Callithrix jacchus: one gene and its partners. The protein of the gene in region 3 interacts with the protein of the main gene of each other region in a pairwise test. Links are inferred from orthologs where the notes say so. Each region holds a gene or a part of one and is shown on either strand. Other genes may lie near its edges.

What was found.
Region 1: the proteins of CDR2 (region 3) and C3H4orf46 interact in binary tests that used the Homo sapiens proteins (3 or more experiments, as listed by UniProt). The two-hybrid records come from large-scale screens. The link is inferred for Callithrix jacchus from reciprocal best matches to the Homo sapiens genes CDR2 and C4orf46.
Region 2: the proteins of CDR2 (region 3) and KANSL1 interact in binary tests that used the Homo sapiens proteins (3 or more experiments, as listed by UniProt). The two-hybrid records come from large-scale screens. The link is inferred for Callithrix jacchus from reciprocal best matches to the Homo sapiens genes CDR2 and KANSL1.

The regions. Positions count from the first base shown.
Region 1 is NC_133504.1:37,670,942-37,674,689, reverse strand, and holds the start of C3H4orf46 (renal cancer differentiation gene 1 protein), read right to left. Parts: upstream 2,545-3,748; 5' UTR 2,329-2,544; coding exon 2,143-2,328; intron 558-2,142; coding exon 402-557; 3' UTR 1-401. Other genes in the region: ETFDH (electron transfer flavoprotein-ubiquinone oxidoreductase, mitochondrial), read left to right, coding at 2,981-3,014.
Region 2 is NC_133506.1:86,771,360-86,775,007, reverse strand, and holds part of KANSL1 (KAT8 regulatory NSL complex subunit 1), read left to right. Parts: intron 1-409; coding exon 410-534; intron 535-1,520; coding exon 1,521-1,578; intron 1,579-1,799; coding exon 1,800-1,912; intron 1,913-2,677; coding exon 2,678-2,930; intron 2,931-3,265; coding exon 3,266-3,493; 3' UTR 3,494-3,648. UniProt on the Homo sapiens protein: Non-catalytic component of the NSL histone acetyltransferase complex, a multiprotein complex that mediates histone H4 acetylation at 'Lys-5'- and 'Lys-8' (H4K5ac and H4K8ac) at transcription start sites and promotes transcription initiation.
Region 3 is NC_133513.1:22,965,906-22,969,653, reverse strand, and holds the start of CDR2 (cerebellar degeneration-related protein 2), read left to right. Parts: upstream 1-1,423; 5' UTR 1,424-1,727; coding exon 1,728-1,806; intron 1,807-3,748.

The DNA of each region.
Region 1 (3,748 bases), on a different chromosome or scaffold from region 3:
CCATCCTATTATGCTAGAGCTCACTCCTGGGACATTTCCCAACCTGGCCATAGTAGCCAATTATTGGACCAAAAGAACCAACCCAACAATCACAGGCTTCAAAGACCCCAACATAATACCGGGAGCAAGTCTCTCACTGCCATTGCTACAAATGGTGGCACAGAGACCTGTCAAGAGGGAAGACACGGGTGGGCCAATGGACGGAACTCTTGTTATCTTAAGTTGTTATGGAATCAACGGTTATGATTGAACATCCATTCAAAAACGAAGAAAAATTTCATTCTGAGTGCATACAGAACTTCTGAACAGAGGTCATCCTATACATGTGGTAAATGTACAAATATGACATATGAAGAAGTATGAAGTAATACAGTCATTATTAAACAACGAAGTATGTCAAATTAGTCATCAGGTTTCAAAGAATCATAGCCTTCTTTCAAGAGGTCCCGCCATGTTTTAAGGAAACGTGCATTTTCTGTACATTTGAAGGCAAGCTCTTCCACTTGAGCTGATACTGCAGATGTGGCTTCAAGGAGTTTGGTTAATGAAAAGGCTGCCTAAAATTAAAAAAAAAAAGTCAAACAAGTTTATTTTTTAAATTCTCATCTCATTTTACAAGTAGTCTCAAAATAGCTTAAGGCCTTGAATCCAATGCCCCTGTTTTCTTTAAAAGTAATCAATTTTCAAACTAAAGCATTGGCTCTTCAATATTTCTTAGGTTCCCTGAAAGAGCCAATGCTTTAGTTTGAAAATTGAGTAGGCTTTGAGGAAACAGGTCTGCTAGAAAAATATTCACTATGTATGAGACATGACAAGTCAGTATTGTTGTTTTCTGTGAAAATACACTAGTCTCAGTTCAACAAGATGACTTGGACCCCTTCACACTAAGTGTCAGAAGTATCTGAAGGAATTCATCATAAATAATTCTTACTGCTATGTGGGTAACATGGGCATTGACCTGTGAACGCTTTAAACAATGAAAATGTATAGATCAAAGAACAGAAACTCTGAGCTCTGACAAACAACATCAACGAAATCACACACGAATGCAGAAAACACTCAGCTCCTGGTGGAAATTTCACTTTTTAGGCAAATATTTTCTTTGCTGATGATATAAAATAAAACGTTTTTCCTAAATAACACATTAGCACTTCATTCTACATATTTCTTTGTAGAATATTCAAAGAATATATAAGAAAATTCTACATATTTACTTACAATCAGTTTGTTCTGCAAAAATAAAGGCTGAATATGCACTTTAGTCATCCTTAAAAAAATACATGCGCAGCAATGAGATAGTCGAGGTCATCCCGCAGTTTCCAATCCTTAAGAAAGGTCATGCCACAGAGCTCTCCCAGAAGGTTACAGCCTACATACCTCATTCCACTTGACCCACTCGAGAGACCATAAAACTGTGACTTCCCTTCTCCCCCTCCCTATCTTGTGTGAGTTAGGGGTGGGAGGTGGGGTGCTAGTTTCTGGGGACTCGAGATTTAACAGAAACTATCCTTACTAAGTATGCATTCTACAAAGGGAGGAGTGCTAGCAATCATACAAAGGAAGGAGTGCTGAACTAAACCCTTAATGAAGCCAATCCACGTGACCTAAACCCTTCAAGCTGGGTCCACCGCTAAGCAGGCCTGAGGCAGACAATGGCATTATCATCTGTCCCTGGGCAGGTGGCCAACTAGAACAGCGGGCTCTAAGTCCCATGGAAAAAAATCACAGTCTGAACCTAAACACTCGCAGGCAGCAAGCAAACCCATGCAGTGAAAACTATTCTCTGATGGGAGGGGAGGAGGCAAAAAGCCAGCACTGGGCGGCGCAGAGCTGCATGGCTTCGGGTTACTGCGGATGATTGAAACCAGAAGGCGAGACAAAAAGAGACCAGTTAGAAGTGGGGCGGGTGGATGGATAACCCTTAAGACTCCTCACCGCTAAATCTAAAGGGGAACACTCAGAAAGGGTTTAGCTGCTGGCATCTCCCACTCCCCGCTTCCCGCCCGCAAGCTCTCGGGTGCAGAAGGGCCGGTCGTCCCCGGTCGTGGGGTTGGGGGACCGACTCCCTGGCCTCGCGGGCCCAGCCGCCGCCAGTCTTCCCAGAGGCGCCGAGGAGGGACGCAGTCCCAACTACACACTCACGTCTCCGATTTGCAGCTCCACTTCCTCCAGCGGGTCAACCTTTCGGCCGCTGCTCCCGCTCGGAACTGGCCAGCTCAAACTCACTGGGCCGCCGGGGAAAGATGCTGCAGAGGCGTCTGCAGAGGAGGGAGAAGAAGGAGGAGGCGGGGGAGGCGAAGAAACCTGCAGCTCCACAGGGTCGGCCATGGGGGAGGACTGAGACCGCGGAATCCAATCGAGCACCCGAACCGACACCAACTGTCTTTTAACCGCTCGCGCCCAAAGCCAAGTGGCCCCGCCTCCTAGCGCCCGAAATCCCGCCCCGTCTCCTCACGGGTCTCAGCCCTGGATCACAAAGACTTTTCATTTTTCGGGACAGCCAATCAGATGACATCTATCCACCTTAGGCAGCTCAAGGCTACTGCGCGAGCCTCTAGTAGGGCTGGAAGGGCGCGCGTGCAGAAGACTACCCCTCCCAGGAAGCTGTGCGCGTCGCCCCGCCTTCCACTGTCTTTCACTGCGCGTGCGTTGTCCTGTGGGATTCGTGAACCTCTCTAGCCGCGCTCTGGCTGGCACCGCGCCCCGGCTGGGTCTTGGAGTCCCTAATTTCCCTGGTTTGGTACATGACCCGGAAGCCTCGGCTGTCCGCCGCGTCATGCATGGCGCCGGCGCAGAGTGAGAAGGAGGCGGGAACGCCGCGAAGCAAGAGCTGTCGGCAGAGCTGGGTAGACGAACTGCGGTCGAGTTCTTGCTTCCCGGCAGGTGATGGCGCCCCCCGCGGCCTAGAGGTCCAACGCCCGCCGCGAGCAGCGGAGATTCCTCCTGTTCTGTCCGACCGAGAATCCTGGTGACTTTGAACATGCTGGTGCCGCTAGCCAAGCTGTCCTGCCCGGGTGAGAGGGAACGTAAGGTGGGGATAAGTGGAGGAATTAGGGCAAAAGCGACAAGGCCGGTCCTGGGGGCTGTAGGCACCTCTCACCTCTCACCTCTTCTCTCATCTGCTTTCTGAGGCTATCTGGGGCAAAGGTCACGCTCTGTGAGCCGGGTGGTGGACCCTGGCTGCTTCTCTCTGGGGTTGCCTCAGTTGGAAAAAATAATATCTAGGCTAAAGGTCAAGGGCGGAGAAAACTTGTCAACACACCCCACCCACCACCACCGGTCAACAAACACACATCTCGGTGGACTCCTGAACTAAGGCTTCCCGAATCATGGTTCTAATCCTCAAAGCTTTGTTTTAAATGGGGGGGGAAAAAAAGTTGTATTTGCCTAGTTTTTATCCTTGGTCCTGACCTGACTTTCGTCTTCGCAGCCATCCTGGTTCAGTCTAAAGAAATTGAAGTCTTATCTGTCACATCATGGTTAACATTCATATGTTAACCAAGTCACCTGAGTGTATCTGGAGCCAGGAGTTTTCTGCCTTGTCTAAAATTAACTATAAAGGCCAGTCGCGGTGGCTCATGCCTGTAATCCCAGCGCTTTGGGAGATCGAGGCCGGTGGATCACCCGAGGTCCAGATTTCAAGGCCAGCCTGACCAACATAGTGAAACCCCATCTCTACTAAAAATACAAAACTTAGCTGAGTGTGATGCCGCATGCTTGTAATCCCAGCTACTCAGGAGGCTTAGGC
Region 2 (3,648 bases), on a different chromosome or scaffold from region 3:
TTTCAAGCACTGCTTTTAAGGGAGGGCCACTATGAGTCTGAGTCATAAATGGGGATAAAGGAGGGAAACGAGGATTTTAAAAGGAGAGGGGGTTAACAGAGGTATATATGGAGTAGGAACCCCACCTGTGAAATTTAACCAGTCTCTTTACACATGAGTCCATGAAGGAAGAGGGTGACCAGTGGGACTTATGAATGGGAATAACTCCTCACAACTTCCTAGTATTTCTCTGTGAGGTTTTTGCTGTTGTAGTCTGACTCCTAGGTGGGAGCAGCTGCTGTGGTCACTACTCAGTTTTAACCCAAGGACCCAGATGCCTTGTTACTGGTGATCCTGCTTTAAGTCTTGGGTGAATGATTTGATGTCTATAAAATTGTGCCTCCCTTTAAACTTAACTTTTATCTTACAGCAGCAGCCAGTAAGGAGGAGAAGGGGAGAGAGCTCATTCGATATTAACAACATTGTCATCCCAATGTCTGTTGCTGCAACAACCCGCGTAGAGAAACTGCAATACAAGGAAATCCTTACTCCCAGGTAGAAGCTCAGAATAGTTGGCTCCTCTCCTCATTCTTCCTGCTATTGCCTTTTCCCTCTTCTCTTCTGACCAAGCTTTGAGCCCTAGTCTTTGGTTCTCTTTTCTCATTAAGAGAAATTCTTTATCTGATAAGAGCGAAATTATTTCTGTGTATAGTTCTCTCTCATTCCATTATAGGTATACACCAAACGAACCAGCAGTCACAACCTGGTAGACCACTGACTTACTGGTCTAGAGACAGGTTTTGTCAACACATACAGTATGTTTTAAAATACTGAATTTGTTGTCAACATCAAAGCAGGATTTCACATAAAACTCTGGTGGCTCACGCCTGTAATCCCAGCACTTTGGGAGGCCGAGATGGGTGGATCATGAGGTCGAGAGATGGAGACCATCCTGGTCAACATGGTGAAACCCTGTCTCTACTAAAAATACAAAAAATCAGCTGGGCATGGGTGGCGCGTGCCTGTAATCCCAGCTACTGAGGAGGCTGAGGCAGGAGAATTGTCTGAACCCAGGAGGCGGAGGTTGCAGTGAGCAGAGATCGCGCCATTGCACTCCAGCCTGGGTAACAAGAGCGAAACTCCGTCTGAAAACAAAACAAAACTCTGTGTTTCCAGCTTTTATTGCCGAACAGAAAATGAGGCAGCCCTGGATATGCATTTTCATATGGGAGCAGTCAGCTGGTCCTGAACAGTGATGGTCCCCTTTAAACAGGTTTCTTTTCTTGAGTTTGTCACAGTGTCTTAGCCTCAGCCCACCCCAGGCCGCTTCTTTAACTTCTGGCCTTCGCAGGCATTTGAGTAGGTGGCCAATTTCACAGGCCTTGAGGGGTGAGGAGACTGAGCTGTGGTAGGGCAGAGCCTGCCCAACAGAGAGCAGTGTCACGTGGGTGCAGGATTCTCATCCTTGCATGGACACTCTGACCCTGCCCTGGGTTGCAGCCTGCTTGCTATCTCATGATTGTCCGTTCTTGGTTTTGCAGCTGGCGGGAGGTTGATCTTCAGTCTCTGAAGGGGAGTCCTGATGAGGAGAATGAGGAGGTAATGGCATGGTCCTTCTCTTAGAAGAACACGTGTATACATGCGCACATGTGTGCACACACACACACGAGTGCACACACCCTAGATGGCATGACCTCAAGACCTTTGGGTGTCAAGTGCAAGCTCCTTATATTCCTGTCCTGACTGGGAAGAGCCTTGAATGGGGTGGGATTCTTAACTCTAGGAGAAAAGAGGGGATTGATAAAGTTTCTCCGTTGCAGATTGAGGACCTGTCCGACGCAGCCTTCGCCGCCCTACATGCCAAATGTGAGGAGATGGAGAGGGCACGGTGGCTGTGGACTACGAGTGTGCCACCCCAGCGGCGAGGCAGCAGGTGATGGGTCAGGCATGGGTCCCCAGGGCCTGTGGAGAGAGGGTAGACAGGGAGTTGGGGCCCTACCTGAGTCTGTGGAATTGCTGCTGTCTCTTGGTTGGTCATCATATTCATCTACTGGCAGTGGGAAAGTGCTCAGAAGTTCCTTGGTGTTTGTTGGAACTAGTGGAGGTATAAGGAGCCAAGTGCTAAATCCTTGCTGAGGAGTCACTGTTCAATTCTGATAAATACCCGTGATCTGTGCCATTTGGAAGGCAGTTGAGGGGTCATGGTGATTCAACCAGGGGAGCTTGGAAGGCCCCACTACAAGTTAACCTTCCTTTGGACAGTGGCTTTGTGATGCCACTTGAAGGAACTGCCCCCCTTATGTCCATCACTACCCAATCTCCATTTATTGTTAACAGTGGCAGAAACCCTCGGGATTCTCAAGTAGAACGTTTTAGGGGCTCTTATTTTTACTTTTTTTTCTTTGACTACAGTTTTCAAAGTCTATACGAATCTTCCTTACCTCCTGAATTCAGTAGGCATTTTGATAGCGACTCACCCCGGCATTGTTCAGCCATGGTTTTTTCTTGGGATGGTAGATGTTTTATACCTACCCCTCCAGAGAGTAGTGGGAAGAATGGGAATTGCTGGATCCGAAGGAAAATCTGTTAGTCTTCGTTCACATCAGCCCCTCCTGTGGGGATGCTTTTTTTCATGCCCTCTACCCCCATAAATAAACATATTTCCCAGGCACTCAGATTTGCATTCCTTGATGTATAGGTCCTACAGGTCATCAGACGGCCGGACAACCCCCCAGCTGGGCAGTGCCAACCCCTCCACCCCACAGCCTGCCTCCCCTGATGTCAGCAGTAGCCACTCTTTGTCGGAATACGCCCATGGCCAGTCCCCTAGGAGCCCCATTAGCCCGGAACTGCACTCTGCACCCCTCACGCCTATGGCTCGGGACACTCCGAGACACTTAGCCAGTGAGGATACCCGTTGTTCCACGCCAGAGCTGGGGCTGGATGAACAGGTAAGGGACACAGCCTTTGTGTGGGGTTGGCGTGGTTAGGGATGGAACCAGGAAGGGACAGCACCTGCTGAAGAGGGATCTACATCATAAGCCATCTCCTCCTCCCTTTTGAAGGGACAAGGGGCTGCACTTAAATTGACCTCTCAACGTCCAGTGGAACTGTACTGATGATTGTTAAAAAGGTTCCCACCCTATGAGGGGTGTTCCCAGACTACCTGGGGAACTCCAAATAGACTGGTCCTAGGCTCCAGGCCACAAGGTTTATGGCAGAGCCTTGGAGCAGGAAGCAGGCTGGCTGCAACTGGGTCCTCACAGAGCAACTTGTCTGCCTACAGTCTGTCCAGCCCTGGGAACGGCGGACCTTCCCCCTGGCGCACAGTCCCCAGGCAGAGTGTGAGGACCAGCTGGATGCACAAGAGCGAGCAGCCCGCTGTACTCGGCGCACCTCAGGCAGCAAGACTGGCCGGGAGACCGAGGCGGCGCCCACCTCGCCTCCCACCGTCCCCCTCAAGAGTCGGCATCTGGCAGTAGCAGCCACAGCTCAGCGCCCGACTCACAGATGAGCGGGAGACAAGAATCTAAACAGACTCACTAACTATTGGCATTAAAGCTTCAGAAATCTCTGCGTTTGATATTCAAACATCATATGCCGGAAATTTTCACAGTTTTTAGTGAACTTAAGGAATTTAGATCCTACTTTGGTATTTTTTTTTCCCTT
Region 3 (3,748 bases):
CCACAAGAATTATTTAGGATGCGTTTCCCTCTCTTTCAAATTACCCGTCTTTATTCTTTTACACAGAAAGACAAAAGTAGCCTTGAGTCTACAATTCCTTCCCTACAATTTCCCTTATTTTTAATTGTGCAAGTATCTAAAAAAGTAAGATCACAGGAGGGTTTATAACAAAAAGTCCCCAGCCCCAACTCAATCCTCCCCTTAGGGAAACTCTTAATTGCTCCCATTTTCAGTTCTGGCAGCTCTCTCCATATTTGTGGAAACGATTTGTTGGATTATCAATGTAAGGTATTATCTGCCGACTCACTGCTAAAATAGATCAGGATTTAACTAACACTCCTCTCCACTTCTAACAATTATTACCTTATGTTCTAATCTTTGAATTATATACTTAAACCTCGATTTTTTTGTTGTTGTTTTGTTGCTCAAACTTAGCAAGATACTGGTTCTGCTGTCTTCCATCGGCTGCACCTTTGCCTTTACTTCAAGGTTGAGAACATTGACCTTCAGGTCTGTCATCCTGCTTAAGAGTTTCCGTGCTTTGTCTGCAAGATGGTGCTAAAAGCTTAACCCACGAGCAGTATTTGCTGGGTTTTGTCGGTGGAGGACAGACAGCGTGCTCTGCCTCGCTGGCTACCAAGTGCTGGGGCTGCAGCCTGTCCCCTCCAGGTGCAATGTCATGTCCCCAGATGCTTAACTTGTGGTCTACGGGTACCTTTTAAAACTCGTATGCAACACTGCTTGCAATTTTTTCCTTCCAAGTGGACTGCTTCGGGCATCCCTCCCCGCCCCAAATTCTCAAGGGGGTCTGGCACCCACCGTTTTAGGGAGCGTCAGAACAATTCCCAGGGCTCAGATATCAAGGAGACAAAAGCTACCGCTCAATGGGCGTTTTCTTAGCCCTAAACTCCCGATCGACCCCGAGTCTCCCCGCCAGATTCGGAGCAAATCTGAGTCAAGATGCGAGAGGGGCGAGCGGGCGGCGGACCAAGCGCTTCTGGCACCCTTGCGCCTCCCGCCGGCACGAAGGACTTCCCTGGACAACCGCTCAACTCTCAGAGGTCGGAATTCTAGACCCTCAGGCCCTCGTTGCCTATCCACGGACGCGCCGGCCTCGGGACACCCACCGCAGGGGTAGGACGCGGCGCGGCGGGCTCCACAGCCCAGACCCCAGAACACGCTCCTAGGAGCCGCACCGCGCAGATCAGGGGGCGGGCTTTCGGCCGCACCCCTTCACTCTTTCCCCGCCTTCTTTGTTTATTCCGGGCCCGACATTGGCTGCATGCCCTCGAGACCGGGCGAGCCGCGCGCCTTTGGAGAGACGCGATTGGGCGAAGTCGCTGCCGCTCGGCCAGCGGCCCGCTCCCGATTGGTTGAGGAGCCGCCGGGGGTTTGAATCGCATCCCCAGCCGGGGAGGGTTCTGCCAAAGTGCCACGTTGGGCCCGGCGGCGGCGTGAGGAGCCGGCTCGGGGCCCTCGCGTCGGAACGCCCAGCCGTTGGGGCCGTTGGGGCCGTTGGGTGGCGCGACGCGAGTCAAGGAGGCGGCCGGTCGGTAGCGGCCGCCGGCGGGAGCAGGGCTGAGGCGGAGTGGCGGAGCCTGGGCGGCGGCGCGTCCCACCCGAGGGCGGCTCTGGCTGAGGGCGGAGGGACCGGGGGAGAGCCCGGGGCAGCGGCTGAGGTGGGACGGCGGCGGTGGGAGCCGCTGCCCCCGGAGGACCCAGCGGAGATGCTGGCGGAAAACCTGGTGGAGGAGTTTGAGATGAAGGAGGACGAACCGTGGTACGACCACCAGGACCTCCAGCAAGGTGAGGGCGGGGGCGCCCCTCGGGCGGGCGGGTGGCGGCCTGGCCCAGGAGGCTCCCGATGCGGAACTGTTAAAAAGTTGCTTTCTCTGGCGGTGGAGGATGCAGGTGCCGGGAAGGGCTCGGGCGCACCTGGCGGCGGGGCCGGCGGTGCCTGCGGATCCCGCCCGCAGGAAGCCTCGGCGCGGGGCCCACGGCCCTGCAAATACGCAGTTCAATATCGGCCCCAGGGCGCGTGGGGGCCAGCGGCGCGCCAGGCACCGTTTTAAGCGCTTTCCCTGGATTAACTGGTTTAATCTTCGCTGCATTCCTCCAAGACAGACCCGGGTGAACCAGGTGCCCCGCAGTAAGTGGCCGAACCCGGGAAGCCGCCCCCTCGCAGCCTGTCGACCCCAGCGCCTTTCATGGCCAGCGCGGAGGGCCGGCCGCTGCAGGTGGTGGTGGTTTTGCGCCTAGCGGGAGCTGTGTGCTCCGCACGTAACGGAACTCCAGGAAGCAGTAACTTTTCAAAAATTTATTTTTTAATGTTTGAGGGTACATAATAGGTGTATATATTTATGGGGTACATGAGATGTTTGGATACAGGCTCACATTGTGAAATAAGCACATGATGGGAAACGGGGAGTCCATCCCCTCCAGCATTTATCCGTTGAGATACTAACAAACCAATTACACTGAAAGTAACTTTTGTTACCCCATTTTCCAGATGGGAAAGGGGAGGCTCAAATGGTTAAGTCGCTTGCCTAAAGCTAAGTGTGGAGGGAGTGTTTTTTGAACCACACACTCGGAATTGTAGTCACTGCTCAAACCCCATCTCTTCTTTTCCATCCTAGTTTACAGCTTTTTTCAATTGGGCGTTAAGCTGTTAGACATAGTTCACCAGATGCCAATTGAAACGGCAGAAGAGCCCTTCTACCTCTGTCACTTCAGTTTGCATGCCAGCTTTCACTTAGAAACAGGCCTGCCGGTGGTGTCTCCAGAGAACAATCGTAGAGCGGCCCGCACTTTGGGACCAGTGGGCCCCCCTTTTTTTCATACTAATAGGAGCTAGCAGTTGGGAAACACTTTTTATGTGCCTAACACTGATAAGCCCATAACACAGTTGCTCATTTAATTCTCCTGGTAACACAATAGAGGTAGTAATGTTGGGGAGTGCTAGGGTTCCCCTTAAGACTCCAGAACATTCTTAACCACTGTGCTGAATACTGAATAATCCTCAAGAATTTTTCCAGGCATCTTCAGTTTCTGTAATTTTGTGTAAATGCTTTCACTAATCTTGCAGTGAAAATTAACATCTCATTTAGTTGAATATTAAATGATCATGATGCTTGTTCATGCTAACCGAACGTGGCAGAAGAAAAGAATCTAGACTTGAATAATTCAGAAAAGGATAATAAGCACCTCTTTTGGAGGAAGATAATTTCTTAAATTAACGTGCAATCACTTTAACCAAAGTAATTCACCTTATTATGCCTATAGACTCCAAGCTACTTAGTGGTTGCCGTGCAGTGTTCGGCACCATCTTCTTTAGGTCAAAAAGACAAATCTGTCATACATTTTAACAAACCTGTTTTCAGATTTCCCCATAAGGATTGATGGCCTAGTTTGATAGTTTCTCCAGGATTTATGAGGCAACCACTGTGCCATTGCAATATTTCCCTATAATTTAAGCAATCTGTATCATCATAACTAAATATTTTTCTTTCTTGTATTTAAGAAGCATAAATCTTTAAGGGAATAGAGGGGGTAGGTTCCTTTTTCAGGTTATTTCCAGCATCTAGCATAATACTTGTTACATACTGGAAGCCCAATTTTAATATTTGTTGAACTGAACTAAAGCACTCACACAAAATTGTTTTCCATGGCTCTCTTCCATCAGGTACCTTACTCCACGCTGCATTCTCCCGCTGTGGGAGATTGTTAGGAACAACTAGCTGTAACACTT